Rattus norvegicus: one gene and its partners. The protein of the gene in region 1 interacts with the protein of each later gene in a pairwise test. Links are inferred from orthologs where the notes say so. Each region holds a gene or a part of one and is shown in the gene's direction. Other genes may lie near its edges.

What was found. The genes of interacting proteins can lie anywhere in the genome.
Region 2: the proteins of Fhl3 (region 1) and Patl1 interact in binary tests that used the Homo sapiens proteins (3 or more experiments, as listed by UniProt). The two-hybrid records come from large-scale screens. The link is inferred for Rattus norvegicus from reciprocal best matches to the Homo sapiens genes FHL3 and PATL1.
Region 3: the proteins of Fhl3 (region 1) and Trim27 interact in a two-hybrid assay, tested with the Homo sapiens proteins (2 studies listed by BioGRID and IntAct). The two-hybrid records come from large-scale screens. The link is inferred for Rattus norvegicus from reciprocal best matches to the Homo sapiens genes FHL3 and TRIM27.
Region 4: the proteins of Fhl3 (region 1) and Dcdc2b interact in binary tests that used the Homo sapiens proteins (3 or more experiments, as listed by UniProt). The two-hybrid records come from large-scale screens. The link is inferred for Rattus norvegicus from reciprocal best matches to the Homo sapiens genes FHL3 and DCDC2B.

What each region holds. Positions count from the first base shown.
Region 1 is NC_086023.1:142,235,633-142,243,123, forward strand, and holds the start of Fhl3 (four and a half LIM domains protein 3), read left to right. Parts: upstream 1-3,157; 5' UTR 3,158-3,205; intron 3,206-7,491. UniProt on the Homo sapiens protein: Recruited by SOX15 to FOXK1 promoters where it acts as a transcriptional coactivator of FOXK1.
Region 2 is NC_086019.1:218,252,490-218,259,996, forward strand, and holds the start of Patl1 (protein PAT1 homolog 1), read left to right. Parts: upstream 1-3,385; 5' UTR 3,386-3,490; coding exon 3,491-3,505; intron 3,506-3,602; exon of another isoform or gene 3,603-4,290; intron 4,291-5,370; coding exon 5,371-5,482; intron 5,483-7,507. UniProt on the Homo sapiens protein: RNA-binding protein involved in deadenylation-dependent decapping of mRNAs, leading to the degradation of mRNAs. Acts as a scaffold protein that connects deadenylation and decapping machinery.
Region 3 is NC_086035.1:48,242,027-48,249,707, reverse strand, and holds the start of Trim27 (zinc finger protein RFP), read left to right. Parts: upstream 1-3,650; coding exon 3,651-4,070; intron 4,071-4,602; exon of another isoform or gene 4,603-4,741; intron 4,742-4,807; exon of another isoform or gene 4,808-4,945; intron 4,946-5,153; coding exon 5,154-5,249; intron 5,250-6,756; coding exon 6,757-6,987; intron 6,988-7,681. Other genes in the region: uncharacterized protein LOC134482717, read right to left, coding at 2,683-2,719, 3,324-3,652. UniProt on the Homo sapiens protein: E3 ubiquitin-protein ligase that mediates ubiquitination of various substrates and thereby plays a role in diffent processes including proliferation, innate immunity, apoptosis, immune response or autophagy.
Region 4 is NC_086023.1:147,237,655-147,245,121, reverse strand, and holds the start of Dcdc2b (doublecortin domain-containing protein 2B), read left to right. Parts: upstream 1-3,345; 5' UTR 3,346-4,088; coding exon 4,089-4,339; intron 4,340-6,536; coding exon 6,537-6,588; intron 6,589-7,021; coding exon 7,022-7,098; intron 7,099-7,301; coding exon 7,302-7,433; intron 7,434-7,467. Other genes in the region: Iqcc (IQ domain-containing protein C), read left to right, coding at 970-1,222, 1,397-1,503, 1,596-2,159.

The sequences.
Region 1 (7,491 bases):
TGGTGGTCTTGGGTGCTAGTGTGCCGACGACAACAATGACGACGACGACAGGCTGAGCAACTCATGAGAAACACCAGTGAGTAGCATGTTCTGCTACAGTTTTTTTTTATAAAGATTTATTTATTATATATATGCAGCTGTCTTCAGACACACCAAAAAAGGGCATCAGATCCCATTACAGATGGTTCTGAGCCACCATGTGGTTGCTGGGATTTGAACTCAGGACCTCTGGAAGAGCAACCAGTGCTCTTAACCACTGAGCCATCTCTCCAGCCCTGGCTCTGGCATGGTTTTTACCTCCAGGTTCCTGTCCTGCTGGAGTTCCTGCCCTGACTTCCCTTGATGCTGCTGCTATGTGGAATTGTAAGCTGAAATAAACCGTTGACTCTCTAGCTTGCTTTTGGTTATGGCGTTAGAAAACTAACAGCAAGCAGGCTCATGCAACGAACTATCTGTCTCGCCCCCCTAATTCTATTTTTAAAGAGAACTGACTCCAGAGAATTGTCCTCTGACCTCCGACACAAGAACACAGGTACACTAGCACTAGCACACACATGTGAACACACACACACACACATACACACACAAACCACCCACATATATGTACATATATATGTTTATTGGATAATTACATGAGTTCATGTATGTAAAGTGCTTAGGGAGTGGTGCGCACTGAGAGTTCACAGAGTCTGGGATCTTGGTAACACCCTTCAGTAGCACTTCAAGCCATAAAAACAAGATGAAAGATCAGAGAATGAAGTACCTTTACTGCTCACTCATACCTCAGGGCTCAGTCCTAGTTAGGGTTTCTACTGCCATGAGGAAACACTGTGACCAAAAGGCAAGTTGGGGGGGGAAACGGTTTATTTGACTTATACTTCAACATCACAGTGCATCCCTGAAGGACGTGAGGACAGGAACTCAAACAGGGCAGGAACCTGGAGGCAGGAGCTGATGCAGAGGCCGTGGAGGGGTGCTGCTTACTGGCTTGCTCAGCCTGCTTTCTTACGGAATCCAGGACCACCAGCCCAGGGATGGCACCACCTGAAATGGCACTGGACTGGGTGTTCCCCCATCAATCCCTAATTAGAAAAATGCCTGGGGTTGGGGATTTAGCTCAGTGGTAGAGGGCTTGCCTAGCAAGCGCAAGGCCCTGGGCAGCTCCGAAAAAAAAAGAAAAAAGAAAGAGAAAAAAAAAAAAAGAAAAAGAAAAAGAAAAATGCCCTACAGGCTTTCATACAGCCTGATCTTATGGAAGCCTTTTCTCAGTTGAGGTTTCCTCCTCTCGAAGACTCTAGCTTGTGTCAAGTTGACATAAAACTAGCCAGCACACTTTCCCACCATTGTCCTCACTTCATGTCAGGACAGACAGACAGACCCCTGCTGTCTGCTCCAACCAGGAATGATGGTGTTTCCTGCATTCCTGTACATTTAGAGTTCCCTAGACCTGAGAGACAAATCCCAGAGGAAGGGCCCACCCTTAGACTCTCTATTCACTGGCTAGACTCCTGATAGCAGGTGCCTGGCAGGGAGTAGCAGGGGGGTCTAAATGAAAGCAGTGTGTGACATTCTTTCCTCATTTACTGCAGGTCGAACACTGGAGTAGATACTGGGAATGCCGTAGTGAACAACAACAGAAACAAAAACAAAACAAAAAAACCCCGACCCAACCTCTGCTCTCGTGGCATTTGCAATTTAAGAATCAACAGCATTGGGGTTGGGGATTTAGCTCAGTGGTAGAGCGCTTGCCTAGGAAGCGCAAGGCCCTGGGTTCGGTCCCCAGCTCCAAAAACAAAAAACAAACAAGAATCAACAGCATTGTGGTTGGGGATTTAGCTCAGTGGTAGAGCGTTTGCCTAGCAAGCACAAGGCCCTGGGTTCGGTCCCCAGCTCTGGGAAAAAAAAAAATCAACAACATTGAAGCAATTCTTTAACTTTAAAAGGAAACCTGGTCTGGTAATTGTTTTAGGACCTAGGAACCAGACCCATGTTATGGAACGATCCTCACCAGCCTTGAAGGCTCTTAATCCCCACAAACTACCTTGGCTGGATGCAGCCTTGGATCAGGGAAGCCTCTCTGGGCATCTGAATCATCACGGAGATGCAAAGGTTATTACCAGGGTTAGTTTGTTGTCTCTTGTTTTGCAAACAGCACAACAGAGCTTCCCCCACCCCACCCCCGCCCTCCAGATCAAGGCTATTTATTTCTAGTGACAAGCCTGAGGATCCCAGGGGGGTTGGCCTCAAGGACCTGGATGGGCCTCATGTCCCTGGCAGGCGCCAGTCCTCCCTTCCCGAACCAGGGTAGAAGCTGGAGGGTCAGAAACTACACAAGTTCCCTCTCTTCTTAACCACCCCTGCCTACACCAACCCAACCCCTCACATTGTTCACACACCCTCTCAAGAAACCCAAAGCCAATGGGACCTAGGATTAGGGTCTCCCTGAGCCTGAAAGGTCAAAATTATTCCTGGGCACTATTGAAACCTCAGTGCCAGGACACAGCTGAAGATGGGGAGGCTGTTGCCTGGGCTTTCGCCACTCGCTTATAGAATAAAAATCCTTTGAAATTGAGGAGGATAGAGGCTCTCTCTCTTTAACCCAAGTTTTTAGAAAAAACAAAAAAAAACAAAAAAAAAAAACAAACACAAACCCTTGATCTCCACTGGTAAGTCAGAATCAAAACCACGCCTCCAGCAGGCTGGATTAAGGCCTCTTCCCAAGCTAAGGTTTAGTGTAACATCTGGGGATGAGCTAGAGGGAAAAGAGGAGGGGGTCTGGTCCCCAGATGGACTCTAGCTAAGTCCTGGAAGCCCCGTATCCCTGGCCTGGGATCGCTTCCAGAAATCCCCCGGGGTCGAAGGGGCGTAGAGGGCGGGTCAGGCTGCAGGGGGCGAGCAAGGAGTGGTCGAGAAGGTCAGAGCGCCAGATTCGCCTGGGCTGGGCTCGCGGCAGGCAGGAGGGGGCGGGGTCTTGCCCCCGCGGGCGGGTTGGGGGCCCGGGGGCGGGGTCCGGGCGGGGCGGGCCGGCTCACTTCCTCGGAGGCTTAGGGCCGCGCGCCCACTCGCCCACACAGTCTGTCGCAGCAGGCTACCTCGCCGCGGCTCTCTCGGCCCCCTCGGCCCGGCCCGCAGGTAGGAGCCGCCGGGAGATCGGCTCCCGCCCCACCCACGCCGCTCGCGCCCAAGCTCCCGCGCCCGCTTCGAGGTGAGAGTCCCCCCACCCACCCAGCTTCCAGCCCCTGTTTCCGCGCTGCGTTCGGACCAGGGTTGGCGCCCGGGCCCCCACCCCTGTCCTCTGCTGGGGCATCTCGAACACGGGATCCCGCGCGCCTGCACGGACCCCACCGCTCCGCGCCTCCCGGTCGGGCAGGGACCGCCCGAGTTGCAGGGGATTGGGACCAAGTTTGAACTAGAAAAGCTTTAGAGGTAGCGGGGTTGGAGAAACTGAGGCTTTTAAGGAGTCTGGTAGAACAGGGAAGGGCGCGCGCCCCAGGAGGCTACCCGGACCACACCAATGGTGGCTGAGAATGGCCGGATAAACTTCTCGAGGCGCTGCCGGGGACCCGGGTTCTGTGGAGCAATTTAAGAAGCAAAATGTATGACCCCAGGGAACTCATTGCTAGCGCCCTTCCCAGGGCCTTGGAAGGCCCCGAGGCTGGAGCTTGTTAGACTATGGCTAAATCTGCCTCCCTGAGGCCTAAAGAGACTCTCAGGTGAGAGACACTGAGACGCTGAGAGACCAAGACTTGGATGCACAGGGACAGAGATCCTCAGAGTGGAGGCCCCACTAGGACACAGTTTCAGAGATACAGGAACACCTTCACCCCAACACAAAGACAGCAGCCCAAGGGTACCGAGAGGTATGGAGTGGAGGCTAGAGTTCACTGAGGAGAGACACCTAGTGTATTCACTGACAGCTGCCCCAGGCCTGAAAGGGTGGAGGCAAAGCTAGGGGGAAATTGAGTCTTAGCCAGCCCATCCCCCAGGAGGCAGAGGACCTGAGGCTGTAACGCTGAGCTGAAGAAAGAGAGCCCCGTACAGCCTCTAAGACAGCGCCAACTTATTTTTAAACTCAAATCTTGGACGCTCTGCCTCAGCCCTAGGGGACTCTGGGGTGAATGAAATGTTCCTCTCCTGTCCTCAGAGCAGCTGCTGGATCCGCTCCCTTATCCCCTTCTCCCTAAACTGCTTGACTTCCAGGCCCTGTGGGCAAGAGGGGCGGTGGAGAGTTTGGGATTGGTGCCTGGTTGGGGGACAGGGAGAGGGAGGGTTAGAGGGGGCTCTAATTTCTCCCCTAAGTCTCTTGTCAAGGGGGAGGGGTCTTCTCTAAGTCTGAGTCACAGCTGTGGGGTCTGGCCAGGGTCCTCGTGGACTTGGGATATGTGGGGGAGCGGGAGGCGGGGAAGGGGGGTATACCAAAGGGTTGAGCAGTTGGCATGGGTGATTGGAAAGACTTCTGGGTGTCTTCCAATGGCAGGTTGACAGCTGGGGAGGAGAGCCAGCCCCGTCCTCCCCTCCCCCCATGACTGCCCCTTCCACCACTATCATAGCATTTCCAGGCAGAGCTCTCCACTAAGGGATAGGTCACTTGTGCTCCAATTGCTGAACAGTCTCGGTCATGCCCCTAGCCTGCCCCTAGTGTCTTGTGCTGAGCTCTAAACGAGCTATACACTCTGTCCTGCCTTTTGGTGTGCGGCTTGTAGTGACCGTGGGGTATGTATTGTGTAAATAACAAGACATCGAGCAAAGTGTGTGCCCCCGGGAACTACCCACCTGTAAGGTCTTTAAAGTTCCCCCTCCTCCTGTGTCCTGCTGACTGGTCTCAGTGGTTCCCTGAGACTCCTGAGGTCACATCCCAGGCCAATTCCCGCTTCAGGCCTGCCTGAGACCCACCGTCTGACCCCAGTAGGAGTTGAGGGGCTTGTAGTAAAAATACAAGTGACTACCGTTTACTTACATAAGGCTACAGACTTATGACTGGCCAGACACTGTTCTGGGGATTGTCACATTTAAGCTCAACAGCTGTCTTAGGAGAGGGAGGTAATAGTATCTCATTTAACTAGATGGACAGTCTCGGGGCATGTAAACTGTGTACCCAAGGTCACAGGATTTCAAGTCGGGTTTATATTTTGTGACCCAAGCAAGCTGTTATACACTGGACACCGTACAGAAAGATATGCTGCCACTCTGCTCTCGGAAGTTCACTGGTGTGTGTGTGTGTGTGTGTGTGTGTGTGTGTGTGTGTGTGTGTGTGTGTGTGTTCAGTCAGGCATGGAGATATGTGTGTTAGTGGAAATAGCAGATTGGGGTCATCTGGAAGACCCACTGTCTCCTCTAATCTACCCCCCTCCTAACCCCCTACTCCTCCACCCCCTTCACCTCCTCACCCCCCTCACTCTCCCACCCCCTACCTGCTACCAGGAATACAGACCATCTCCCAGCTCACCTTTCTAGTCCTCCAGCCTTGCCAGGGATGGGGGTGGGGTGGGGGGGACTGGGGAAAAGACAAGTGGGCCTTGGTGGTGCCCTTCACTCTGTCCTCATTAGAGACATAGATTAAGGGATTGGGAGATTCTGGGAAGGAAGCAGAAGGCACACCCATGCCCTATTTGGGGTGCCTCATCTCATTGTGGTGACTGGCTCTGAGGGGGTGGATCCAGGGCTAGCCTGGACCTGGGAAGGTAGCTGCTGCCGCCAAGCCCGGAAGGAAGGGCTCCCAAGTGGACTCACGGCCACAGACCACCTGTATTTGCTGTTGTGGCTAACAGCCCAGGCGATCCTCAGAGGCTGGGCCAGAGGAGACCAAGACCTGAATGACGGTGGGGGGAGAGAAGGAGAGGGAAGAGGAGGTTCTCTTCATCCTTTAGCATAACCCCTACCTGAGGACTCTCCCCTTTGAAGACTTCAGCTTTGGTCTGTCCAAAGCTTTGGTGTGTCCTGCTTTGGTTGTGAACCAGGTGTTCTCCCACCTTGTGGAAGGGAAAGTTCAAATTCATAAGCCACAAAGAGGTGGGCCCTTCAAGGCTTGGGACATCTGTTGTTGCCTGAAGTCTGAACTCTAAGGCAAGGCAGACCAAGGTGTTTGGTGAGAATTTACTGTACTTGCTGAGGGGGGTGTGTGTGTGTGTGTGTGTGTGTGTGTGTGTGTGTGTGTTTTGGGAGGGCGGGGAATGCCTTTCCTTCATCTTAAGCCAGGGCAGCTATGGAGAAGGGGGTTGGTAGGATCCTTTGCGCACCCCCCTTTAACTTCCTCCAGTCTCCTGTGCGACAATGACACCATCCCGACTTCCTGTGGGTCCTGGGGGATCTTCCTCACTGTCCAGCCCTTTGAAAGCTTGCTTCATAATGGAGCAGGGTGGAGCAGGGGAACTCTGACTTTGGGGCCAGGGAGACTGGAATTGGCCAGCAGAAGAGACCGGGAACCCCATTTCCCTGCCCCCCCCCATCCTTCATGCTCCTGTTCCAGAGGCAGCTGTGTGGGTGACCTCATCCCACAAACATGCTTTGTTCCTGAGAAAATGGAAAGTGTCTGAGGTTTGGTGGGGGGCTGGGTGTCTGCAGCAACAGCACTTAGGACTCCCCTTGTCTTACTCCCTGTTAAGAAGGGACCCCACTGGGGCTCCAGGGGCTCCCACCTTCTCAGCTTTCACTACTCTGGCCTCAAACCCTGGGAACCCAGGGAAGGTAGGCAGAGGCAGCTTGTCCAGATGCAGGGGACTTTGCAGGGCTAGAACGGGCACCTGGCAGGAGAAGCAAGACACTGCCCTATCTGTGTGTCTCCATTTCCTTCCGCTTCCCTGGGCATCTCGTTTTTTCCCTTTTTTCTCCCTCTGGTTGGCAAAAGGCTGACATCTGGCCCTCCGTGCTGCCACAGCTGCAGCAGATGTCACAGCCAAGACTGCCCGGGCTGGTGTGACCAGAGACACAGCAGAGGTGGTAGGGATGAGGATGAGGTCCAGCTGGGGAAGTCTGGCTGTCCAGCTTGCAGGGTTTCCTTCCTGCCTGAACCTAAGCGGAACCTCTCAAGTTTTTGCTGCTTGGCTGATTCCCCTGGGAGGGGAGGCCCAACTTCTCACACCGACGTGCACCATTCATCAGACAAGCATCTCTCTAGCAGTCCACGATTTCCTGCATCTGCATCGGTAGGGAGTTGGGGTGGGGGAGAGCACACAAAACAGCTCATTCCACCTAAAACTCCCCCAGACCGGGAGTCTAGATAATTAGCCCCTATGATTCCTATCCTGGGAGTCAGGAGGTGAGAGTGTTGTCTATATGCAGTAGGGTTGGCGGCCTCTGTCCTGGCCTTTGGCACCCTAGGGACAGTCCAGAGAGTGGAAGCAAACCTCAGGCTAGGGCAGGAAATGAGTCACTGACCCAGGAAAAGCCCCCTCCCCCCAGATCAGCCAGGGCCTAGATAAGAAAACTTCTGCTTCCTGATTTTTTTTCCTGACCCCTTCCTATTCTCACAGTCAAATACAGAAATAAACATGG
Region 2 (7,507 bases), on another chromosome or scaffold:
CCGACTATGTCTCTAGTTTCTGTGCCCCATTATATCTCTCCATGTACTTTCTTTGAATTGATCTTAAAGCTCACTTACATTTAGTATATGACAGTTAAGTTCTGGTTGTGAATGTGACTGGATCTCAGAGTCAACTAAAATGCTGGGCCCTGCTGTTAGGGATTTTTGTGGTCAGATTATTTGAGGTGCTGAAGACCCACCCATGGGTAGTCTTCGTAAAAAGTAAATAAAGATGAAACTGCATTTTGTTGGATGCTTTTACTCTTGTGGAAAAGTGTATCCCTTTGCTGATCTTAGAACCAGTTTCTTCATGCTTCTAACATCTGCTGAAGATCATCATCTCTCCAAGAATCCTCCAGGATGAAGGGCCAGACTGGGACTGAAAGACCTGCCCTTGTGGTCTGAGCAACTACTAAGATCTTGGGTTTCCCAGTGAGTTGACTACTGGAGTACTACAAGAATGGACTGCGTAAGTCACTCTATCACGTCCTCTTTTAACATATATTCACCCTGTGGAAGCAGTGGTTCTCAACCGTCTTAATTGCTTCTACCTTTAAAACAGACCGTGGTGAACCCAAAACATAAAACTTTCATTGCTACTTCGTAACTGTAATTTTGCTAGTTACAGGTCATAATATAGATATCTGATATGTGAAAGGGTCCCCTGACCCCCCCCAAAGGGTTTGTGACCCCCAGGTTGAGAACTACTGCTCCAAAGACTTCTAATAAGTAAAATCTCCTACTTTTTTGTAGGAAATTATACTTTCTGGTAGGTAATTTCCAACTTTGTGCTTTAGCTGTATCCTAAAACTGGTAGGTTTTGTTTTTATTTTTTGGGGGGGTGGGGGGAGGGGAAGCAGTTCGTGTGACCCAGCAAGTGAGGATGACCTTAAATTCCTGATTCTGCCCTCACCTCCCAAAGACCATATGCCTGCCTCTGATGGATCAATATGTTTATCATGCGGTTTTAAATCTTTTCTACCTTCCATTGCTTTCTCAGTTAGTTCACAAACTGGGTGGATCTATTTGGTTTCCAAACACAATTTTTTTTGTTTGTTTACTATTTATTTCTAAATGACCGGAAAACATGATCTGGTATCACCAAATTTACTCTCTAAATGTGTAGACTAAATTGGACATGGTGGCACGCACCTTTAATCTGAGATTAAACAAATATAGGCAAACATAGGCAGATCTCTGTGTGTTTGAAGTCTACGTGGTGAGTTTCAGGACAGCAAGGGCTAACGGTATATAGAGAGAGTCTGTATCAAGAAACTAGAAATAGAAAAATAAATAAGATTTGACTAAACATTTTCATGCTTCAAGGACAAAAAGTCTTCTTTATAACCTCACAGACCTTTGACAACTCATTATCTTGACAGGATAAAGCACCTGCTAAGAGATTAGTGAGGCACACCTCTGGGTGTCAGAGAAAACTGGATCGTGAGCACTGTGATCGAACGAATAGACTAAAATGATTATAATGACTGATTCAAAATATGAGGACTGTAATTGTAATGCTATTCATTACTGGGAACTCCTGGAAGGTCAGAGGCCTAGTGGAGGAAGTGGAAGCTGGTGTCCCTTGAAAGCTGAATCTTAAATGTCTTCTATATCTCAGTTTTTTTCTTGTCATACAATAAACAAATAGCCTTTGCCACACACTCCCTCCCACTCCATGACTTGCTAGGAACAAGCACGGATTATACCCTCTGAAACCTGAGTCTAAATTAACTTTTTTCCGTTTATATTGTCTGCTCAGGATTTTGGTCACAATACAAAACTAATAAACAGTAGCAAACCAACAAAAGACATTTTGTAAATGCGGGCTGGCAGGCTTACAAAATAAGTCTGACCAGAGTTTGATAGCTCTTGGTCTAAATGGCCTCTTGGTACTTTGATAATCGTAAGAGCCTGTTACCTCACACGAAAGTTTCATAACTCTTGAAAATCAATTACTAGCTTACCTTGCCTTCTCTTTAAGAGTCAAGTGGATTGGGGAGGGAGGCAAAAAAAAAAAAAGAAAGAAAGAAAGAAAGAAAGAAAGAAAGAAAGAAAGAAAGAAAGAAAGAAAGAAAGAGTCAAGTGGATTTGCTCTTAAGTGATCCGATTTAGGAATTCAGACATTTTAGCTACCCAACCCTGCAACACTTTGCAGTGAGAGGCTTAAGGCTATCTACTTAGAGCAGAGAATGTATTCTACTTGGTGAGATAGATATAATTATACCCATTTTATGAAAGAAAACATGAAGGGTCAGATGTTTAGAAAAACATGCCCAGTTTCTCATAGCAGTGGAAAAACTGACATTTCCCAATCCAGAACTTCTATTTTCAAATCCAATGCTTATAGTAAGCTAGTTGATTAACCCAGTCCCGTTAACAGTCATGTGTTAAGGAATTAAAGTGCACCATTCATTCCCAGGTGAGACAAGAGCCAGGGGGTAGTGAGTGACATTGTTCCCCTTTAATCCAACACTCTGAGGCAAAGGCAGGAGGAGCTATGCTGCCTGGTCTACAGAGTGAATAACAAGACAGCCAGTGCTACACAGAGAAACCCTGTTTCAAAAATAAAATAAAAATTAAGACACCCACTCAGACGGACTCACTAGAGGCAATAAAGCACCAAAGCTGCTAGAACCAGGGTGCTGAGGCTTGCAAGCTGAGCAAACTCCTCTGGGCTTGATCCTGAACGGAAATGGTTGTCTACAGCGCACTCAAGCTCACTGACCTTGCTACGGTGACCCCAACCCTAAGGCTGCGCGGCCCGTTAGGGCTCTCCCGCTTCCCAACGGCCTGAAGCGCCTGGCATCTAAAAATATCACTTTAAATAACCCTCTTTAAATGTGCCTTGTCTTTTTCCTGAAAACAGATGCTGTCAACACTTTGGCCTCTATTAATCACAGCCTTGGTCTCCCTGCTGATTCAGCCAGCGACCCGTCCCTTTCCAGAACACTGATTTTCCACACTATTCCCCCTCACAGATCAAGTCCAGGCACCCCGAGAAGGGCACTGGACGTTAGGTGAAACCACCCAAAAATAAAATCCCCGATTTTCTCAGCAGTCGCTTTAGGGTCGCATCCTGTGACATTCACAAGGCTTTTCTCCGCCCAGTCAGTGACGGGAATCTCGTGACTGAAAAGCACAGCGCAAGAGTGCCGCTGGGAGTACGGAGGAGGAGCCGCAAGCTCAGGCTCTCTGGTTCAGCCCCGACGGCCGCGCGTGCGCAGTGTCTTGCCTAGGGATCTCTTTCCCGCCGCTCACACTAGGAAGTCAAACGCCAAATCTGTCCCCGCGCAGCTGCAGCCGCCGAGGCGCCCGCCCAGCCCGAGGCGCGCCTGCGCACGTCCCCACGCACGCTCCGGCGTACGGCGGCGGCCAGGGGTCGCGAGCCGGTGGGAGACCCGCGCGCGCGGAGCAGCCCGGGGAGTCGGCGCTTTTTTTCCCTCCCTCCCCCCACTCCCCTCCCCGCTCCCTTCCCCCTTCCCCAAGAATGTTCCGCTACGAGGTGAGTGGCTGCGACCGGAAATGACCCCTCCCTCGCCCGCGCGCCCCCTTTTTCCTCTGCTGCCCGTCGCGCGGGTCTTGTGCGGCTGAGGAGGGGGCAGGGCGCGGACGGCTGGCGACCTGGCTTCGGCCGCCGGGCTCGGGTGGGGCCCGAAGCGCACCTCGGGGGGCGGGACTGGCTAGAGCCGGCCGCTGGTTTGCGGCTGGGAGAGCCCGTTAAGTGCGGTAACCTGACCCTTTCCTTGCGCCTCCGCTCGTGGAGCTGCCTTGGAGACCTGCATTGCTCCTACTCCGTGGCAAAATCCCCGGGGAATGCCCACGGAAGCGTTTCCCGCCCTGCACCCGGAACCCCTTCACCCGGATTACACACACCCGTGTGTACGCGGGCAGCGGTCAGGTGGAGGGTTAGGAACTGGCCCTTGGGCTGAGACTAAAGTCAGCTTGTAAGGAAGGCTCGGAGTGGGGAGGGGGCGTGTCCCCCAGAAGTTCCTTCTAGGTGAATGGAGGAAAGTGTGGGTTTGGTGACGCCTGGAGAATGTAGCTGTTTGCTGACGGTCATTTACTGCTGTGTGACCTTGAGCAACTCCTAATCTTGGGGCCAAACAGATTCCGGATTTATAGTTTAGGGACTGAGCTAGGAAAATCCTTACTGAGCCATCCTGATTTGGCCCAGTAGATCGTTGTGATATAAAGAGTTGCTAGAAGTTGCTTCTGGTATGGAGGCAGTTGCAGGACTGGCTCTTTAGGGGAGGAAGATTGGGTAGAAAGGCCCTTCAGAGTTCCCAGGTAAGTTATATCACAAGCTGTAACACTACTGTGTGGAATTCCATTTTGGAATCTTTGAACATTGAAAACAATAGAATGCTTGACTTTACATATGTGACTCAACTCACTTTGTGAAAAGATGAAGAGTGATGATGAGATACTGTGAATATAAGTTGCCAGAAGCAAAGAAAACTTGGTAAACTGAATAAATTTGAATTGGGAGAAATGATTGAAATTAGCATATACTTACTAAGCTTGTCTAGTGATCTTTACTCCCTGGAGGCTGAGGCAGGAGAATCAGGAGTGCTAAGCCATCCTGTACCTAGAGAAACAGTAACTAAAACAAAATAAAGTAGAACATACCCAAGATGTTATGGTGAGTCTAGCTAATATTCAGCTTTCTAAAATCTTTGCCTCCTTTGATCTTCACACAGATTTCTTTCATCAAGTTGTGTTTGGCTCAGAATTACAGTTTAAGGGACTGAGATTTAGTACCTAGTATAGAGTGTGAAGACATAGTGGGTCCTCAGAAGTTGTCTGGGAGAGTTGTCTGGGAGCCGGAGCAATGGCTGCTCTCCCACAAACCCTGGGTTCAATTCCCAGCACCCACATGGCAGCTCATAACTTGTAACTACAGTTCCAGGGGACCTAGCACCATCACATATACATGTATGCAGGCAAAACACCAATGCATATAAAATAAAAAGAAATTAAAATGTTTTTTCAAGTTTCCTATTAGGCAACTTTATAAGAGTAGAACAAGAAGTTGTGATTGTTTTTTTAATATTTAATCTGCATTCTGGCTGAAAATGATTGCTTTCTGCTTTCTGGCTAGAGTTTAGTCCTACCGGAAAGAGGAAGAAAGATGGACAGATTTAAAAGCATTGAGAAAACGACATGGATATAGTGAGGACGATGTAATTTTGTTGAAAAGGTTGCATGATAATAAAGTGTTCATTTATAATTACCACTATTTCAGACAGTTATATAAAGAAATTGTGTGTTCATCTACAATAAATCTTAAAAAATCATTTAAAGGGTCCAACTTTAAATGACTACATAAATGTGATGAGAAGTTAATCCTTTTTTTTCTTCCCGTAGTCTTTGGAGGATTGTCCTCTAGATGAAGATGAAGATGCATTTCAGGGCCTGGGAGAAGAAGATGAAGAAATTGATCAATTTAATGATGATACATTTGGATCAGGTGCAGTTGGTAAGTGACATCTTTTATTACTGTCTTCGTTGATCTCATCAAGTACTTTGGTGTTAGGTCAACCTCTAATGTGAGTTTTCTGTGTATGCACAAGTGTAGGTAAGTGTGTGGCATGGCTGTTTTGTGAAGGCCAAAAAAAGACCTCAAGAGCTGGAGCTCACATTCTACCTCGTTAAGACAGGATCTCTCTTGTTTCTTCCACAGTGCTACATATTTCAGACTAGGTGGCCCAACAATTTGGGTCATTCTTGTGTCTCCATCTCCTGTCCCAAAGTAGAAATACTGGGATTACAGATGTTGACCTGTGCATCCAGCTGTGTTCTAGGGATTGAATTCAGATCGTCAGACTTGTACATGAATTGGTTTTATCTACTCAGGTGAGCTGGGTATTCTTCCTGACCCAGTTTTGTTTATATAATATAGCCTTCACTAAGTCATAACAGTTCATCTTCTGTTCTGGTCACCTGGGCCTCTTTGCCTCACCTATAACAGGTATTCTCAATTCTCCATAGCTCTAGGTTGATATTATAAGGAAATAATTGGAAAAGTAAACATTTAAATGAGGTTGAAAGTAATCCTGGATAAAGGACGTATTTGTAAAGAATACAAGGAAAACTAATAGATGTATCGAATATTCTGATCTAGTATGTAAGACATTTTAAAATTCACTTTACCACAGTCAGATAGAGGAAAAACTTGAGTTCTAGGCTAGCTAGACTATATGGGGGAGTGGGGGAGGATCCCAAAAAAGGGAAGAAAAAGCCAGGCAGTGGTATATACGTTTAATCCCAGCATTTGGAAGGCAGAGCTCCCGGACAGCCAAAGCTACACAGAGAAACCCTATCTCATACACCCTCAAAAGTGGGAGGAAGCTCGTAGGCTATCACTAGCATAATAATTTCTACTGTCTCAGTTTTTTCAGTACAGTGGCAACACTATATAAAGTTGGGTGATAAAATATCTTCATAAATTAATAACTTGTCCATAGAACAAGTACAGAGAAAGTAGAATAACAAGATAGTTTATAAAGAACAAGTAGAGTACAGATGAAAACCTGAAATGTAGATATTCCTGCTTCAGCAGTAGCAGTGGAATGCAGTGTTTAGGTTGGGGTGTGTGTAACTATTTGTGATTTTAGGGGGAATTGCCAAAGTTCAGTCTGTACAACAAGTGTTTCAAGTTAAATAATGAAGAAAGCCCAGAAAAATACAGCACTAGTGGGTTATCCCAAGGTGTTCAGTACCAAAAGCCTTTTAAAATCCTAACAGTAGATACTGATTGCAATAATTTAAACAGTTAAGTCTTCAGAGCTCACAGAGTTAAGTGAAGTGGAAAAATTGGAAAGGTTTGTTCTTGTCTCCTGTTTGCAAAAATCAGTAGAAAACCAAAACTGTCCTGAGGGAGAGCAGCAAGAAATGCGCTAACAATGGAAGCAGTGCTCAGTAGAGAGAAGAGTTACGGAATCTTAGAGGATAGCCAGAGTTAGGAAATGAGATTGTTCAGGAGCATGGTACGATCCAAGATGCTGTCTCCATGGAGATAGCAAAGGAAGCTGTGTAGACTAGAATTACAAGCACTGAGAGGTGATACAAATTGCAAATTGTATTTAGAAGGTAGTTTAGCAGTAACCCCTAAAACACAGGAAAAGCTATAAACCGTATATACTTGTGTCTAGATTTCTCTAATAAAATACTGTATAGAATGTTCAGTATTAAAATGCATATGATTAATATACTTCACTAAAATGAGAGAGCATAGTATGTTCTCAATTTGAACCTTGACAGAATGGTCTTTGCCTTCTCACTGACATTCAGAGTTTTGAAAATATACCCCTATTGTGGTAAAAATTAAAAAGCCTTCTCTATCAGTTCCCTCAAGCCGGATCTGCTCACTCTGGCTGCTACTCTGCCACGCAGTCCGCAAACCGCTCTCTTCCAGCTGTCTCACTTTTAGCTGCCCTCTCTGTGTGGTCCCCTAGGCAGTAGTTACCATGTCTCTGTCTCTGTCTCTCTCTCTCTCTCTTTC
Region 3 (7,681 bases), on another chromosome or scaffold:
AACCTGTTCCAAACAGCACCACCAACTGGGAATCAAGTCTTCAAATACATGAATCTATGGGGGAACATCTCATTCAAAACACCACTCTCAGGTTGCCAAATTTTCATGGCAAGTGCCTTTATCTATCTTCTCCCAGACGCTTCATTTTTTTTAAAACCTGGTCTTCACTTAAAGAGAAAATATGCCATACATCTTTTCAGTCTGGCTTAATGTTATAACCTTTAAATAATTTCATTCTTCTTTATAGGCAAATCAAATTCTGCTGTGCATATGAATCACATTTTCTTTATGTATTCATCTCTTGATGGACACCTAGATTGATTTACTGTCTTGGCTACCACAAATAGTGCATCAATAAGAATAGGTATTCTCTCCATGCATTCTGTGTGACTATACCCAGGAGCAGGTTGCATTACAGATAGATCAACTTTTAATTTGGCAGGAGCAGGGAGAACTCGAGTCATTTCCTGTACTCATTAACCATCTAGCCAATAGCGTATAAAGACACCCTTTCAATCCCTTGTCAGTATTTGCTGTTGCTTAGTCTCAATGTCACCATTTTGATCGGTGGGAGATGGAACCCAGTGTGGCTTTAATTTCTATTTCCCTGGTGCCTAAAGATGTTGGATATTGGTGTGTGTGTGTGTGTGTGTGTGTGTGCATCTGTGTGCACACACACTCATGCACACTGGGCATTTGTACTTCTTTCGAGAATTGTATGTTCAATTAATTCATTTGACTACTGATTTGGTTTTTTTAAACTTTTGTATTCTTGTATTGAACGTGTACGCTAATTTTGATTTTTAGTCCTTCATATATCAAGGATCCTCATCCCCTATTAGATGATTAAGCAATTCAGAATTGTTATTTTGTTCCCATAAGTGTATAAAAGTTAGCAACTACACTAGGTATTGTTACCATATGTGGGTTTCCCTGGGGTCACTCTCCAGCAGCCCAGGAGGAAGAGGGTTTCTGAGAGCCTGTGAATACCAACGGAAATGACACTGCAGGGTCAGCTTTGGAGAGTCAGATCAACTTTACTGGAGGTGAACCAAGGATTCTATAGCTTTGAGGAAGAGGTAGGAATACCCAGGGTGGTCAAAGGTCACTGATGCCTCATTAGCATGAGAAGGCATTCCTGGAATCTTAGGTGCTTGCTGGACAGGAAGCTGCACCTGTGATCTCATCAAGGCTACGTGACATTCTTCAGGCAGATTGTGTGGAGGGGTTTCCAAGCTCCCCAGACAAGGTCAAAGAAGGAGAAGCCCTGCCGACAAAGGGAATCCACCACTTTGCACCGCGCTCAGAGTTTTTGGTAATGTCAGACAGTAGCAAGGCTTCTGCGACAACCATAATTGATAAAAAATTCACAGCAGTGCTTTATTCATCTAAATCATTTCCAAATCATTGCAAACAGGTAGGGTATGCAATAATTTAGGTCGAGGTGGAGGAACAAAAATGAAAACTGAGTAGATGGAATTGTTGAAGGGCATTTGCCTAACTTAAGGTCCTGGGTCTGACCTCTAAGGCTGAGAAAAGCTGGGAATGAGTAGGCGACTAAGCAACAAAGCTCTGTACAACAAGCCTACCGAATGAAGTGAATGAAGAGAAAATAGTCATCACTTGAGAAAGGAGAGGGCCAGTAGCAATCACGGAGGGGAAGGGAAGCTTCCCTTTCCCCTACTTCCTTCACCTTACCAACGGTTTGTCCAGGCCATCTACCTCAAGGTTAGGAAAGCAGAGGCAGCATGAGCCCTGGATGACAAGGCTAAACGCCAGAGCTGCACTGCTAACCTAAGAACACATATCTACTATCTGCATTTCATAGTTACACACCAGCTTGCAAAACGTACTTCTTCCTTCTGGAGTGAGAGTAGAACTTTCAATTCCAACTTCAGTTTTGAACCAGACTAGACAGACTATGGTGTGGCCTAGGACAAGCATTCTACCTTTTACTGGAAGTGTGCTGAATTATTTGAGCCTGGAGTTTCAAAAGGGCAGGTAGGAGAATGGAGGCTTGGGTGAGCAAGACTTGTTAGTGCCTCGGATTTCTTGTCCCAAGGGAAAGAACCGAGCAGAATCCAATGAAGTGATGCTCTGGATACAGAAATTCCCTGTCCAGACACTGAGTCAATCCCAAAGGAGAGTAGGAAAGGCCACGGCAGAAGTGACAGGGCACAGAACTGCAAATCTATTCTGTGATAAGAAGCTAGCCTACAAGACCTCCTCGGGTCGTCGCAGAATTCTCAATTGGGCAGAAACAAGCAAGTTTTAGGTTCTACTCAATGCCGTTCAATGCACTGGACACTTCATTTAAACTAATGGATAAAAATCTTTATGGCTCAAGCTGTGTTTTAAAAAGTTTAACTCACGGATGGGGAAAATTCCTGAAAGCAACAGTGTATGGGGGCTCAAGGAAGACACTGAAACAGACTGCTGGGAGTAAGAACTTTATTAGCGCCATAGGCAGATAGGCGGTGGACAATCAGAATTTCTGGCCGCGCCACAGGCGCCAGGGGGAGGTGGGGGCTGGGGAGTGTTCGAGAATGAAGCCCACGTGGCAGAATCAGGGTCGTTTCTTCTAGGGTCTCATAGGAACCCGCGGCCAGGCTCCTTCCTCAGCAGGTGGTAGGGAAGAAGTGTGTCATCAAGTAGCTCTTTGATATGTCTGGTCTGGCTACTTCACTTGAGGAAGTGAGAAACTGGGCACCAGAGGAGCCTGTTAAGAAGTTAGGGACTCACAAGCGGGCTCTCGGTGAGGCAGCTCCCTAGTAGCCGGAAGGCTAGAGAGAAGGGGAAGGACTTCAGTAGGTATCAGGGTCTGGTGAGCACTCTGGTCTGGATTCTATCAATCCCCCATTTCACGCGAGAAGAAAATGAGGCTCGGAACGATAAACAAACTTACTTTAGGGTGGAAGTAGAAGTGGGCTTCTCCATTTCTGCCACTGAGAAAAGTTGCTGATAATAAAACCTTTTTCTGGCGATTATTATCGCCTGGAGTTGGGTGTGTTTCAGAGTGCTTCACACACTGGGAGGGGCTTAGCTGGTCTCTCAGCCCAGTTTTCCGGCACTTATGCAAAGCCACCTTGCATTTAAAGGAGCCAAGGCCTAGGCACTAAGAAGACACCCGGCAAAGGACTACGGATCCACCAAAGCTTAGAGTATCCCGACCCCACTGCCAGGGACACCCTGCTCCCACTGCAAAGGGCAACCACCACCGACTCCCGGGCTGGGTACCGGGGCTCCAGGACTGCGCCGAGGAAACCCGCCTTCCCGCCCCGGAGGAGAGCGGCGCGGGAAGCCAGGCCCCGCCCCCGGCCCACCTCTTCCGCTCGGCCCTTAGGAGTCTGCGCGGCCCTGGGATCCCTTCCGACGCGGCCACGTTGCCCGGTGAGCCATCCTGCAGCGCCGGGTTCCCGACACCCCTCTGCTCGGCTCTCAGCCGGGCCCTGGGGCCCAGGCCTTCCCGCGCTGTCCGTGAGGTGCAGCTGTGCGGGGACGGGTCTGGCCGCCCCAGAGCTCCGCACGCGTCTAGGATCCCCGCGCCGGAGGCCCCACCCCGCTCCGGATCTGAGAAGCCGAGAGAGAGCGCCGGGCTCTGCCAGAGCTCGGCTCCGGGCTCATGCCCTGCGGCCCAGCCGGCTCGCGCCATGGCCTCAGGGAGCGTGGCCGAGTCCCTGCAGCAGGAGACCACCTGCCCCGTGTGTCTTCAATACTTTGTGGAACCCATGATGCTCGACTGCGGCCACAACATCTGTTGCGCGTGCCTGGCCCGCTGCTGGGGTGCCGCGGAGACTAACGTGTCGTGCCCGCAGTGCCGGGAGACCTTCCCGCAGCGCCACATGCGGCCCAACCGGCACCTGGCCAACGTGACCCAGCTGGTGAAGCAACTGCGCACCGAGCGGCCGTCGGGGCCGGACGGCGAGATGGGCGTGTGCGAGAAGCACCGCGAGCCTCTGAAGCTGTACTGCGAGCAGGACCAGATGCCCATCTGCGTGGTGTGCGACCGCTCGCGCGAGCACCGTGGCCACAGCGTGCTGCCGCTGGAGGAGGCTGTGGAAGGCTTCAAGGTAGGGCCGGGCCGGCGGACAAAGAGGAGAGCCGGGGGCTTCCTGGTTTGCCGCCGAGAAAATGGCGAGCCGGACGTGGGGCCCACCGCCGTCATTTCCTCCCTGTCGGCTGCGGAGCCTCCGCGCTCAGACTCGGAAGGAGAACCTGTAGCTGGCGAGGCCAGAGGCGTCCCCACCCCCACCCCTTCTCCGAGCGCCCCCTGTTAACTGCCTCAACGCGTGCCGCGGCTGGGACGGCGCGAGGAGACCCTCCCTTGACAAAGGAGATGCACATGGAGCCATGTCCACTTCCATAGGCCTTGAACACCTCGAACTTGCTCTGGCCCAGGATATCAAACCAGACAGCCCCTGTTGGCTGGCCGAATTCACATCGACCGATGCCTATCACTTAATCTAAGCCCCCAGCGCTTCCCTGTAACCTGTTTTAGAACCTAATGGAAATGAACAGAGCTCTTTACTGCTTGAGTAAATCATTTAGCCACTCTCAGACTCGGGAGATAACTTAATGAAGAGGAAGTGAACTCACAGGACCTGAAGAGGCCTTTGTTGAATAAACACTGGCACAGCTACACAGTAATTCGAAAATGTTACATATAAAGTAACTCTCAAGTGATAATGAGTCTGTTTTGAGGACTGCAGGGATATGTACCAACAGTTAGATTTGTTTAAATGTGAGTTCATCCAAATGTCAGTCACGTTTACAAAGCTGTATCATTTCACTCACTGGAAATAAAGTTGTAATTTAGTAATGCTTACCAGTTCTGTGCATGAGGAAAATAAATCATTTTTTTCTGTATTCGTCTGAGGAATAGCTTACCTTTTGAGCCTCTTTACCCAGATGTCTCATAACCTGTGCAGAATGCTTCTAGGAACTGGTAGGTGGCTTGAGTTTAACAAATTTCTAAAACAGCTGTGCTGGACCCTGTGCTTTAGGCTCTTCCCAGGAATGGCACTGTGGTCTGAGGACAGAGTCCAGCCCGGCCTTGGCATCTGTAGTTTGGGTTCCTGTGTCATAAGCAGAGTAGCTATTTTGATGCTGAGATCTGCAAAATTCTGAATTGGCTGACTGTTTACTTTCTTCAGGAGCAAATCCAGAATCGGCTGGACCACCTAAGAAGAGTGAAAGACTTGAAGAAGAGACGGAGGGCACAGGGGGAGCAGGCACGAGCTGAGCTCCTGGTAAGGGTCCAGGTCTCCAGCCTGCAGAGAGGCATTGCATCAGGATAGCCTTGGCAAGGGTGTAATGAAAACTTCTAAGCAGAGCATTTCCCCTTGGTGTCTGTCATTCCTATCATTTAGCTCCATCCTGTCTCTGAGTGAGTGCGATCTTGACACCTCTTGCTTGAAAACAGGATGAAGAAACTTCTCAGTGATCTTGTGTAGACTAAACTTAAACATACAATGTATCATATCAGCTTTGGGAGGATTTTCCAGAGAGAAATACTTGTGCCAGTGTGTCAGTCACACTGCTTTGGATATACTCAGTAAATTGATCTTTAGCCTTAATTTTGTCTAAGGTTATATTGTATACTTTATACCTTTGAAAGACTTATCCAGGTTAAAAGAGGTATAAGGGGCCCTTGGAACAGTTGAATTCAAGTCAGATTTTAGCAAACTTTCTGAAAGGGGCCAGTAATAAGTATTTTTAGCTTTGTTAATTTACACAAGCTAAATCACAACACCTCAGTCATTGCATCTCAAAAACAGCCATGTCTAATACATAAATGAGTGGGTTTGGCTGGATTCAAGTAAAATCTTTCTTGACTGCTCTAGAGCCATTTTGCTGACCATTTGTTTATTCAGAAATAGTTTCACTATGCAATCCAGGATGGTCTTGAACTCTCCATATTCCTGCCTTAGTCTCCCCAAGTGCTGGAATTATAGTATGCACTGCCACACTTGGTTTATAATCTTAGAACTCTAGGTTTTTTAGGATGTCTTAGGTAGCCCCAGTTGATCTTAAGTTCATTATATAGTTAAGAGTGATCCTGAAGTTCCAGTCTTGCCTTGTCTGCCTTCCAAGTGCTAGGAATGCAGGCATGGAGGAATTAGAAATGTAGGAAAGATAGACAAACCAATAGAAACATTGTATGGAGAGGAACCCATAAGCACCCCCTAAAAAATCAGGGCATGGATTACTTACTGAGACCAAGTAAACACATCCAGGAAACTTGTGCTTGCTCGATCATACCAGGTCATGTCCACAGAGTGCACACCTAACCCTGCCATTTCACTGTGATTGTTTCATGACTCCGCCTGCCAGGCAAGATGTTCATGGGCTCCAGTCATGTAGAACAATGCCTTTTCTCCCCACTTTATTGCCTGTGCCATTTGCTCAGCCTAGACAGCCTGTCTAGTTTATGCTTACATGGCATTCTACAAGACCTGTGCAAACATGGACTTTAGGAAGACAGTTGAGTTTCAGTGTCTTTACCTATCCGTGGATGAACCTGACCCTGATTTGACTGGGTCCCTTAAGATTAGAGACTGTTTATTAATTAAGATTTGAAGTAATTCAGTCCGTGGTCGGCACGTGTCTGTGTAGACTGGAAAGTGAGTGGGTGAGCATAGTGTCTGTTTTCATGTAACTTGAAATGGTGAGATCTTTGGGTTAAGTCATGGGGGTTATTTTGAAGGATTCTAACAGTGAGCCTTTCCTATTCTTACCTTTGCTTGTCATTTACAGAGCCTGACCCAGATGGAGAGGGAAAAAATTGTTTGGGAGTTTGAGCAGCTGTATCACTCTTTGAAGGAACATGAGTATCGCCTGTTGGCTCGCCTTGAGGAGCTAGACTTGGCCATCTATAATAGCATCAACGGTGCCATCACTCAGTTCTCCTGCAACATCTCCCACCTCAGTGGCCTGATTGCCCAACTGGAAGAGAAGCAGCAGCAGCCCACGAGGGAGCTCTTGCAGGTAACCAGGAGAGCGCTGCAGGGCAGCTTTTACCTTGTCAGGCAACATTCCTGTGATTCCCTGTGTCCCTTTTAACTGCTAAAGTGTTAAGCATTTTGGAAGGAAAACCTGTATACTAGAAGTTGTGGTTGACACAACTCAGTTCTTCAGTTGCATTTCGTCATGGAAAAGGTAAAAGAAAAACCTAGTCCTTGGGCCTTTCCTGCACTTCCCTCTACAGTCTTAGGGTCTCATTAATCTTATTTACTCAGAATAGATTATGTATAATAAAACATTTGGGCCACATGTCATTCAAAACCCTTTCATCATCCAGTAATTTTACTGTATACTCGAGTTTTAACAACAGCCAAAGACATTGTGTGGACAACAGGTACAGTTAGCCTGAATATAAATCACCTGTGCTAGCATAACTGAGGGAAGCCAAATGCTTTCCCAGGGTAAGAGCTACTGCTTGCCTGCCTTCCTGTCTTATCTTCCATGTTTAAGTACTATGGTGGGCACAGGAATTAAATGATCAGTGAATGAGCTTTCTTTTATTGTGTTTTAGTGTAAAGTTCAGACAATAAGTAAACGGTTATCACACATGTTAATAATTGCCATTTGGAGGGATGGTGAGGCACCACAGTACTGAGCAAATTATGGCCTGCCATTAATTTCTGCTGCTGCTTGGACCTAAGTAGGTTTTTATTATTTT
Region 4 (7,467 bases), about 5.0 Mb from region 1:
AAAAAAAATCTGACAACCCTATATTTGAATGCTGCTTTTCCATGCCTATGCACAGGGCAGCTTTTTTTTTTTTTTTTTTTTTTTTTTTTTTTTTTTTTTTTTTTTTTTTTAAGATTAGTTATATGAGCACACTGTTGCTGTCTTCAGACACATCAGAAGAGGGTGTCAGATCCCATTACAGATGGTTGTGAGCCACCGTGTGGTTGCTGGGAATTGAACTCAGGACCTCTGGAAGAGCAGTCAGTGCTCTTAACCGCTGAGCCATCTCTCCAGTCCGCCTCCTCACTCTCTTGCTCTTCCCCCTTCTTTTTTTTTTTTTTTTAAGATTTATTCATTTATTATATATAAGTACACTGTAGCTGTCTTCAGATACACCAGAAGAGGGAATCGGATCTCTTTACAGATGGTTGTGAGCCACCATGTGGTTGCTGGGAATTGAACTCATGACCTCTGGAAGAGCAGTCGGGTGCTCTTAACCACTGAGCCATCTCTCCAGCCCGCTCTTCCCCCTTCTTGCTCCCACTCTCTCTCCAGGTGCTCATGGCTGGCCTCTGCTTCTCTACTCACTCCCTTTCTCTGCTTCGATGACCCTCTTAACTCCCTCCCTATACCCTGAATAAACTCTATTCTGTACTATACCAACATGTGGCTGGATCCTCGGGAGGAAGGGATGGCTCAGCCTGGGCCTACACTGAGGCACCCCCTTCCCCGACTCCTGACTACACCTTCGTAGGACATATCGCCCCTCTCTTTATAAACACATCAGCCATTGGAAGAGAAAGCAGGTTTACTTCCTCACACCCCAATCCCTGATCCTACCCACTTCCCCATTAGACTATGGTTTCCAGACACCGGTGGTGGTGATGGTGGTGGTGGTGGTGGTGGTGGTGGTGGTGGTGGTGGTGGTGGTGGTGGTGGTGGTGGTGGTGTTAGCCCTGCAATTCTCACACTTCTCTAAATTCTCATAAGGCAAAATCTCATCGATCCTGGAAAATAGAGAAAATACCAAACCCAGAGCAGAAACTATCGAGCCATTCCCCACATAAAGACTCTGAAAAAGAACTCCTCTGGGAGGAGATGGTGCTGAGGAAGACAGATAAAAACCCAGCAGAGCCAGGAAGTCTTTGCAGAGGTGACAGCGCCTGGCCACAGGCTGAGCCGGGCAGGAAAGCCAGCCAGGGGAACAGTAGAGACCCCTCCATCTCCAAGGTGCAAAGTGCAGGTATGGATCCAGCTAGATCAGGGCAAGCCCCGACCTCCTCTGGGTCCTAGCCTCCCACGAACCACAAAAGGATTCAGTCGCAACCCTCCCCACCTCTTCTCTGTCTGAGAGTGTGAAGGGTATCTAGGGCTAGCCCAGTTCCCAGTGTCTAAGGATGTCTCTTCCTCATTGAAGTCACAGATCTAGGATTGTCCCAGACACAACAGGAACTCCAGGAGCAGCGCAACCACTTGGCCATGGAGCTGCTGTGGCTACAGCAGGCCATTAACAGTCGGAAGGAGGTAGGACTGACTGAGAGCCCTCTCTGAACTCAAGGGTGGGGAGGGGCCTTTTGCTGTGCCTGAGCAAGCCTGCCTCTGATCTTCCCTAACAGTACCTGATTCTCAAGCAAACACTGCGATCCCCAGAAGCAAGCCAGATCAGAGACAAGCCTACTAAGATGTGCCTGAAGCACAGGGGACAGGCCTATGAGGAGACCTGGTTGCAATCAAGCTGTGTTCTGGACAACCAATCCTATAGAGACGGGGTCATAGGAGAGCCACATCATGCAGAGGATTCCTGCCACAGGGGCACATTGCAGCCGCAGAAACCCCCAGACAGTATGACCAGTACAAGCAAAGCCACTGCTGGGGCTAAAGGCGGGGAACTCTATCGGAACTCTGGTTCACAGCTGCCTACAGCATTAGAGAGCCAGGCTGGAGGGGTCAGGGTCACCAAAGGGCCAGACCGTGGAGGACAGCCCTTTAATGAAACCTCCCGACAGCAGCTGAAACTCCTAGAAGATCAGACTCTTAGGGACCTCAAATTGAGGAGTTCTTATTCTGGAAAGGTCGAAACACAGCTGCCCACTCTCAGTGAAAATCTAAATATTGAGGACAGATATTCCAGAAAGCCAAGCTACAAAGAGGCTGACTGGCCAGAGCGCCGGGCCCTATGATCTGAGTATCTCAGAAGGCCGCAGGATTTGGGATGAGACCTTGGCAGGGCAGGAACATGGTAGCCTGGATCTCACAGAGACCAAACCACCCAAGAGCCAGCCCCTAGTGCTAGGGCTTCCAGCCATGGGTCTGCAGTGAGCTTAGTGCAGAAGGATGGGAGAGCACGGACTCTGCAGTGGAAATGAAAAGCACTGGAGAACTTGTCTTCCACAAGACAGGCCTGGGGGAAGGGCAGAAAACGGAAAGCAGGACCAGCAGGCAACCTGGGGACCCAGGAAAGGAAGGGGGTGCTATGAAAAATGATATGGAAGCAGGCCCTTGTCCTGCCTCCCTGGCCCCACATCTGCCTTTGGTAGCTGTCTGGCTAAGAGAAGCTGCAGGGCTGAGCTGGTACAGTAGGAGAGAGAAGGACGACACGCCCTTTTCTCTTCTGCCTGTGACTTAAACCAAATTTTGTGGATTGATGTCTACTTGCAGGCACAAAATATGGCAGTGAAAAAGGCAAGCGGGCTGAGAATTTGAGAGGCGGGACAGAGTAAGGAGGAGGAGAGAAGGATGACCCAGATCCGGTGGCTTTAAATAGCCACAGGTGGCTATGAACCTTATATGGGATGGGTAATTACAGGACAATTTGTCTTATCTAGGTGGGCAGTTTGTCAATTTCAGTTAGCCCTGAGTTTATTGTGTGGACGTTTTGTGGGGTGAGAATTTACTGATATAAATTTGATTGATAAATTACAAGCCTCTAGAGTTTTGATTTTGCTGGGTTACTGGGAATTGTGACTATAACCACAAGGGGCATGGGGCTAGCGTGACAGTGACCTGCCAAGGGAACTTAGCGAGTTGGGTGGAGACAGTTCAAGAGCTCTAGGCCAGAGAGTCTGTCAAGTCTGGCAGGCCAAGATGAGAGGATGCTGCTGGTGCCATATGGCCTTCCGTGCTGGTGCTAGCCTGAGACAGTTCCTTTTTTTATTACCTGCTACAAAATTTCACCTTCTCTTGGGGATGGTAGGGTGAGAGGACCATGGAGAATAAGTTTTTCTTGAGGGTCTGGAGAGATGGCTCAGCGGTTAAGAGCACTGACTGCTCTTCCAGAGGTCCTGAGTTCAATTCCCAGCAACCACATGGTGGCTCACAACCATCTGAAAGATTGGATGCCCTCTTCTGGTGTGTCTGAAGACAGCTACATTGTACGTACATATATATATATATAGAGAGAGATATAGATATAGATATATACAATCTTTTGAAGAAAAAAGAGTTCAGAGTTTCTCACTGGGCCTTCTTGCCAACCCCACGTAAATTTTGTTCCATCAGTGGTGCTGAGTCTGTAAATTGCCCACTCAGTGAGGCTTCCGTTGGCTGCTATTAACGGACCCCAGTCCACATACCATACCTTGATGCTTTCCTTAGTTACCTGCATGTCAGAACAGGCTTTGGGGAAGTTTTGAGCCTGTCTCCTTTTATCTCCTGCCTCTGACCAGGACAGATTCTGGGCCATCTGATTCACCTCCCACTGACATGGGAGTGTCATCCCCAGAACCAGCTAGCAACAATGCCAAGGGAACTAGCCATCCTCCTTGGGTAACAGGCTCCAGGCTGGTTGCTCTTGGTCTCAGTTGTTTAAAGGAGCCCAAACCTTGGACAAGATGGACATCTCTCTCTCACTGAGCCCGAGCTCTTCCTTTCATAATGGCGTCAGACCAGGCTGAACAAGGGCTAGAGTTTTTCACTGCAAAGTCAGTGAAAAAGTGATCACACCTGTCCTGCTATGAGGCCCATCTGAGACCCTGAATTCAGGGAAATGCTCCCATCCAAGGTGCTTGCAGCCTTCCTGGATAAGAGGGCAGAACTCCACCTTTGGCACATCTCCCAGCCCTGGCTTAGTTGCTTGGCAACAGCTCTGTGTCTGAGAGTGAGGATACACTATGGCAGCCAAGAGGATACTGGTGTATCGAAATGGGGACCCCTTCTTTCCAGGCCACCAGCTGGTGGTGACCCAACGCCGCTACCCCACCATGGAGGCTTTCCTTTATGAGGTGACATCAGCTGTGCAAGCCCCACTGGCTGTACGTGCCCTCTACACACTTAGTGATGGCCACCCTGTCACCAACCTGGCTGACTTACAGAACGGAGGGCAGTATGTGGCTGCTGGCTTCGAACGATTCCACAAGATCCAGTGAGTGGGTGGGGGCTGGCTTGAGCGTCTGGGGAGGGCGGTGGGATTAACAGTGCATCTAGTACTTCAGGTCAACAGGCTAATATTTTTCCAAAGCCTGGGGAGAGACTGTACACTACCAGAGTGCAGAAGCACACTGAGAAACTGGCCAGAGGCTATGTAAGCAAACAGATTGAGCTGTAACTCAGAGTTAAGTTCTGTTACCAAGGTGTATGTCCATCACAACCAGGACAAGCCTACGGGCAGAATTCTGTAAATTGGATGTCTTTCTGAAAGCTGTTTTTGTTGAGTAATTTAGTTTTTAAAGCCAGGCAGTGGGAGGCACACACCTTTTATACCAGTACTCAGGAGGCAGAGGCAGTTGGATCTCTGTGTTGGAGGGCAGCCTGGTCTACAGAGTGCATTCCAAGACAGTCAGGGATAGACAAAGAAACCCTGTCTCTCAAACCCCTCTCCCCCCAATTTTTTTTTTTGGCTCTTTTTTTCGGAGCTGGGGACCGAACCCAGGGCCTTGCGCTTCCTAGGCAAGCGCTCTACCACTGAGCTAAATCCCCAACCCCCCAAATTTGTTTTAAGACAGGGTCTCACCATATGGCATCTGTTGGCTCGGAACTCACTCTATAGATCAGGCTGGCCTCCAACTCCCTGCCTCTGCCTCCCAAGTGCTGAATCAACTCATCCTCAGGAAGAGCGAGCAGGGAGTGCTCTTGTGTGTGTGTGTGTGTGTGTGTGTGTGTGTGTGTGTGTGTGTGTGTGTGTGTGTCGGGATACCTCGCCAGAGTTAGTTCTTTTCTTTCTCCATGTAGGCTCGGAGGTCAGGCTTGGCAGTAAGTGGCTTGGTCTCTCCAACCCTGAGAGCTGCTGCAATCCCACCGTCACTGATGAGCTCACTACTCAGTGTCCGAAGCTCCTGTTAGATTGGTCCATCCCTGCGAGATGACACTGTCTTCCAAAGTGGAAGAGCAGTGAGATGAGAGCTCCCAACTCAGCCCTACCTTCCATACCTGCTCCGAGAGCTCAGTGGAGTAGTTTACTAGAGGGAAGGAACAAGGTGTCTGGACTTAGTCACCTTCTGTGTAAACCTGTACAAGTCATCGCTTTGACTATCATACAAAGTGAAAATAAAATCAGCCCATGAACCGGGGAATTTCTGGGCTATAGTAAGATACTTCATGCTTGGGGGCTGAAGAGATGGTTCAGCGGTTAAGAGCACTGACTGCTCTTCCAGAGGTCCTGAGTTCAATTCCCAGCAACCACATGGTGGCTCACAACCATCTGTAATGAGATCCGATGCCCTCTTCTGGTGTGTCTGAAGATAGCTACAGTGTGCCTATATATAAAATAAATGAATAAAAAAAAAAAAGATACTTCATGCTTGCCTTTGGTCTTCAACAATGGTGTACCTAATATCTACCTGGATTACTCAGTACTCAGGGATCCTAAGTCATCCACATTCCTAGCTCAAAAAGAGAGTGCTCCAGTGAGGAGGGATGTTTAGGGTGCTGGGCAGCTACTGGAAGATTGCCTCATGCCACAGAGGATGGTCCTCGTCTAACGGAGGCTTTGAGATGCTTGGCTGCATCAGGAAGGAAGTGTGAACAGATGATTGGTGTGGGAGGGGTAGGAGAACAAATTTAAGAATTTGGAGCCAGGCCAGTAACGACTGTAGGCCCATAATCCTCGCACATAGAACACAGAGGTGGGAGGGTCCGAAGTTGAAGATCATCTTTCATTATACTCTGTGCAGAGGCTAGCCTGGGGAAACTCCATCCTCCCATCTGCCTAGCCTGGATCTCACTAGGTAGATCAGGCTGATCTCAAACTCAAGATCCCACTGCCACTGCCTCTGGAGTGCTAGAATAGTTTTGTTTTGAGACAGGCTTTATCTGTATAACCCTGGCTGTCCTGAATCTCACGCTGTGGACCATGCTGGCCTTGAACATAGAGATCCACCTGCCTCTGCCTCCCAAGATCTGGGATTAAAGGTGTGTGCCACCAATGCCCAGCCAGAGAAGTGCTAGAATTAAAGGTATGTACCACCATACCCATCTCAAAGTAGTCAAGGGAAAGGGCAACCCACAGAATTGTCTCCTCAGACCTGCCATGGTGCTAAGAATCTCAGTTGTAATGGGCATAAACCTACCTGGTCAAGGTTCACACTTCCTTAAGGTGACCTGGGACCTATCTGTCCTTTCAGCTATTTGCCTCCTGGAAGGAAATACCCAGGTGGGAAGAACAGGCAACAACATGTAAGTCCTGGGGGTGGGGACTGTCTGTAGCCTCTTTTGTCCCATCCCTCCTGGGACTGCTCCACTTTTGAGAAAGGTCCTGGAAGCAGCAAGAGTTGTTGGTTTCAGGGAGCACATCACGCTTGCTCTAGACCCTGCTGCTATCCTGGGACATAGGATTGAGGACATTACCTCTGGCTCAGTCCCAGCCTTTGACCTAATCTCCAGGCCATGGTCCCCAAAGGAATAAGTAAATGGTGACATCCAAGGGCAAAGGACAGGAGTTATGTGGCCCAGGAAACACAGATGCTCCTTTCAGGAAGGTGTGACCAGATTCACCCTGCTCTCTCGCTTGCCTTCACAAGTTTGGGTCCTGTCTGCTCACCCCATGGTTAGAACTAACCAGTCCCAGCAAGCCCTGAACTTCTGACTTGAAGACCTGCCTTGGTTTCAGGAGTCTCCCATATCTCAGCGCCCATGTGATGGGGCCTTTGGACAGTGGTTGCCAGCAGACACCCTCTGCTATATCCAGTGAGTGCCAACCTCGGGAGTGGGGAATACGGATTTGTGACTCCCTGAGGCCAAGAAGACAGGAGTGGGGTTTTGTTTCTTCCTATCACAAGTGGGAAGATTAAAAACCCAACATGTCGGTGGTTCTTGGACCACTTGGTTCTTGCACTCCCTTTCACAGAGGGACTCTTGGAGACCCTTGCCCTTATTGTTCTTTGTCTCAGTGTGTTCAGGAACGGGGACCTGCTAAGTCCCCCCTTTAGTCTGAAGCTGTCCCAGACTGCCATCCAGGACTGGGAAGTGGTCTTGAAGCTACTGAATGAGAAGGCTACGGTACAGAGTGGGACTGTACACAAGTGAGTACGGAGACAAGGGAGAATGCACCCCCTC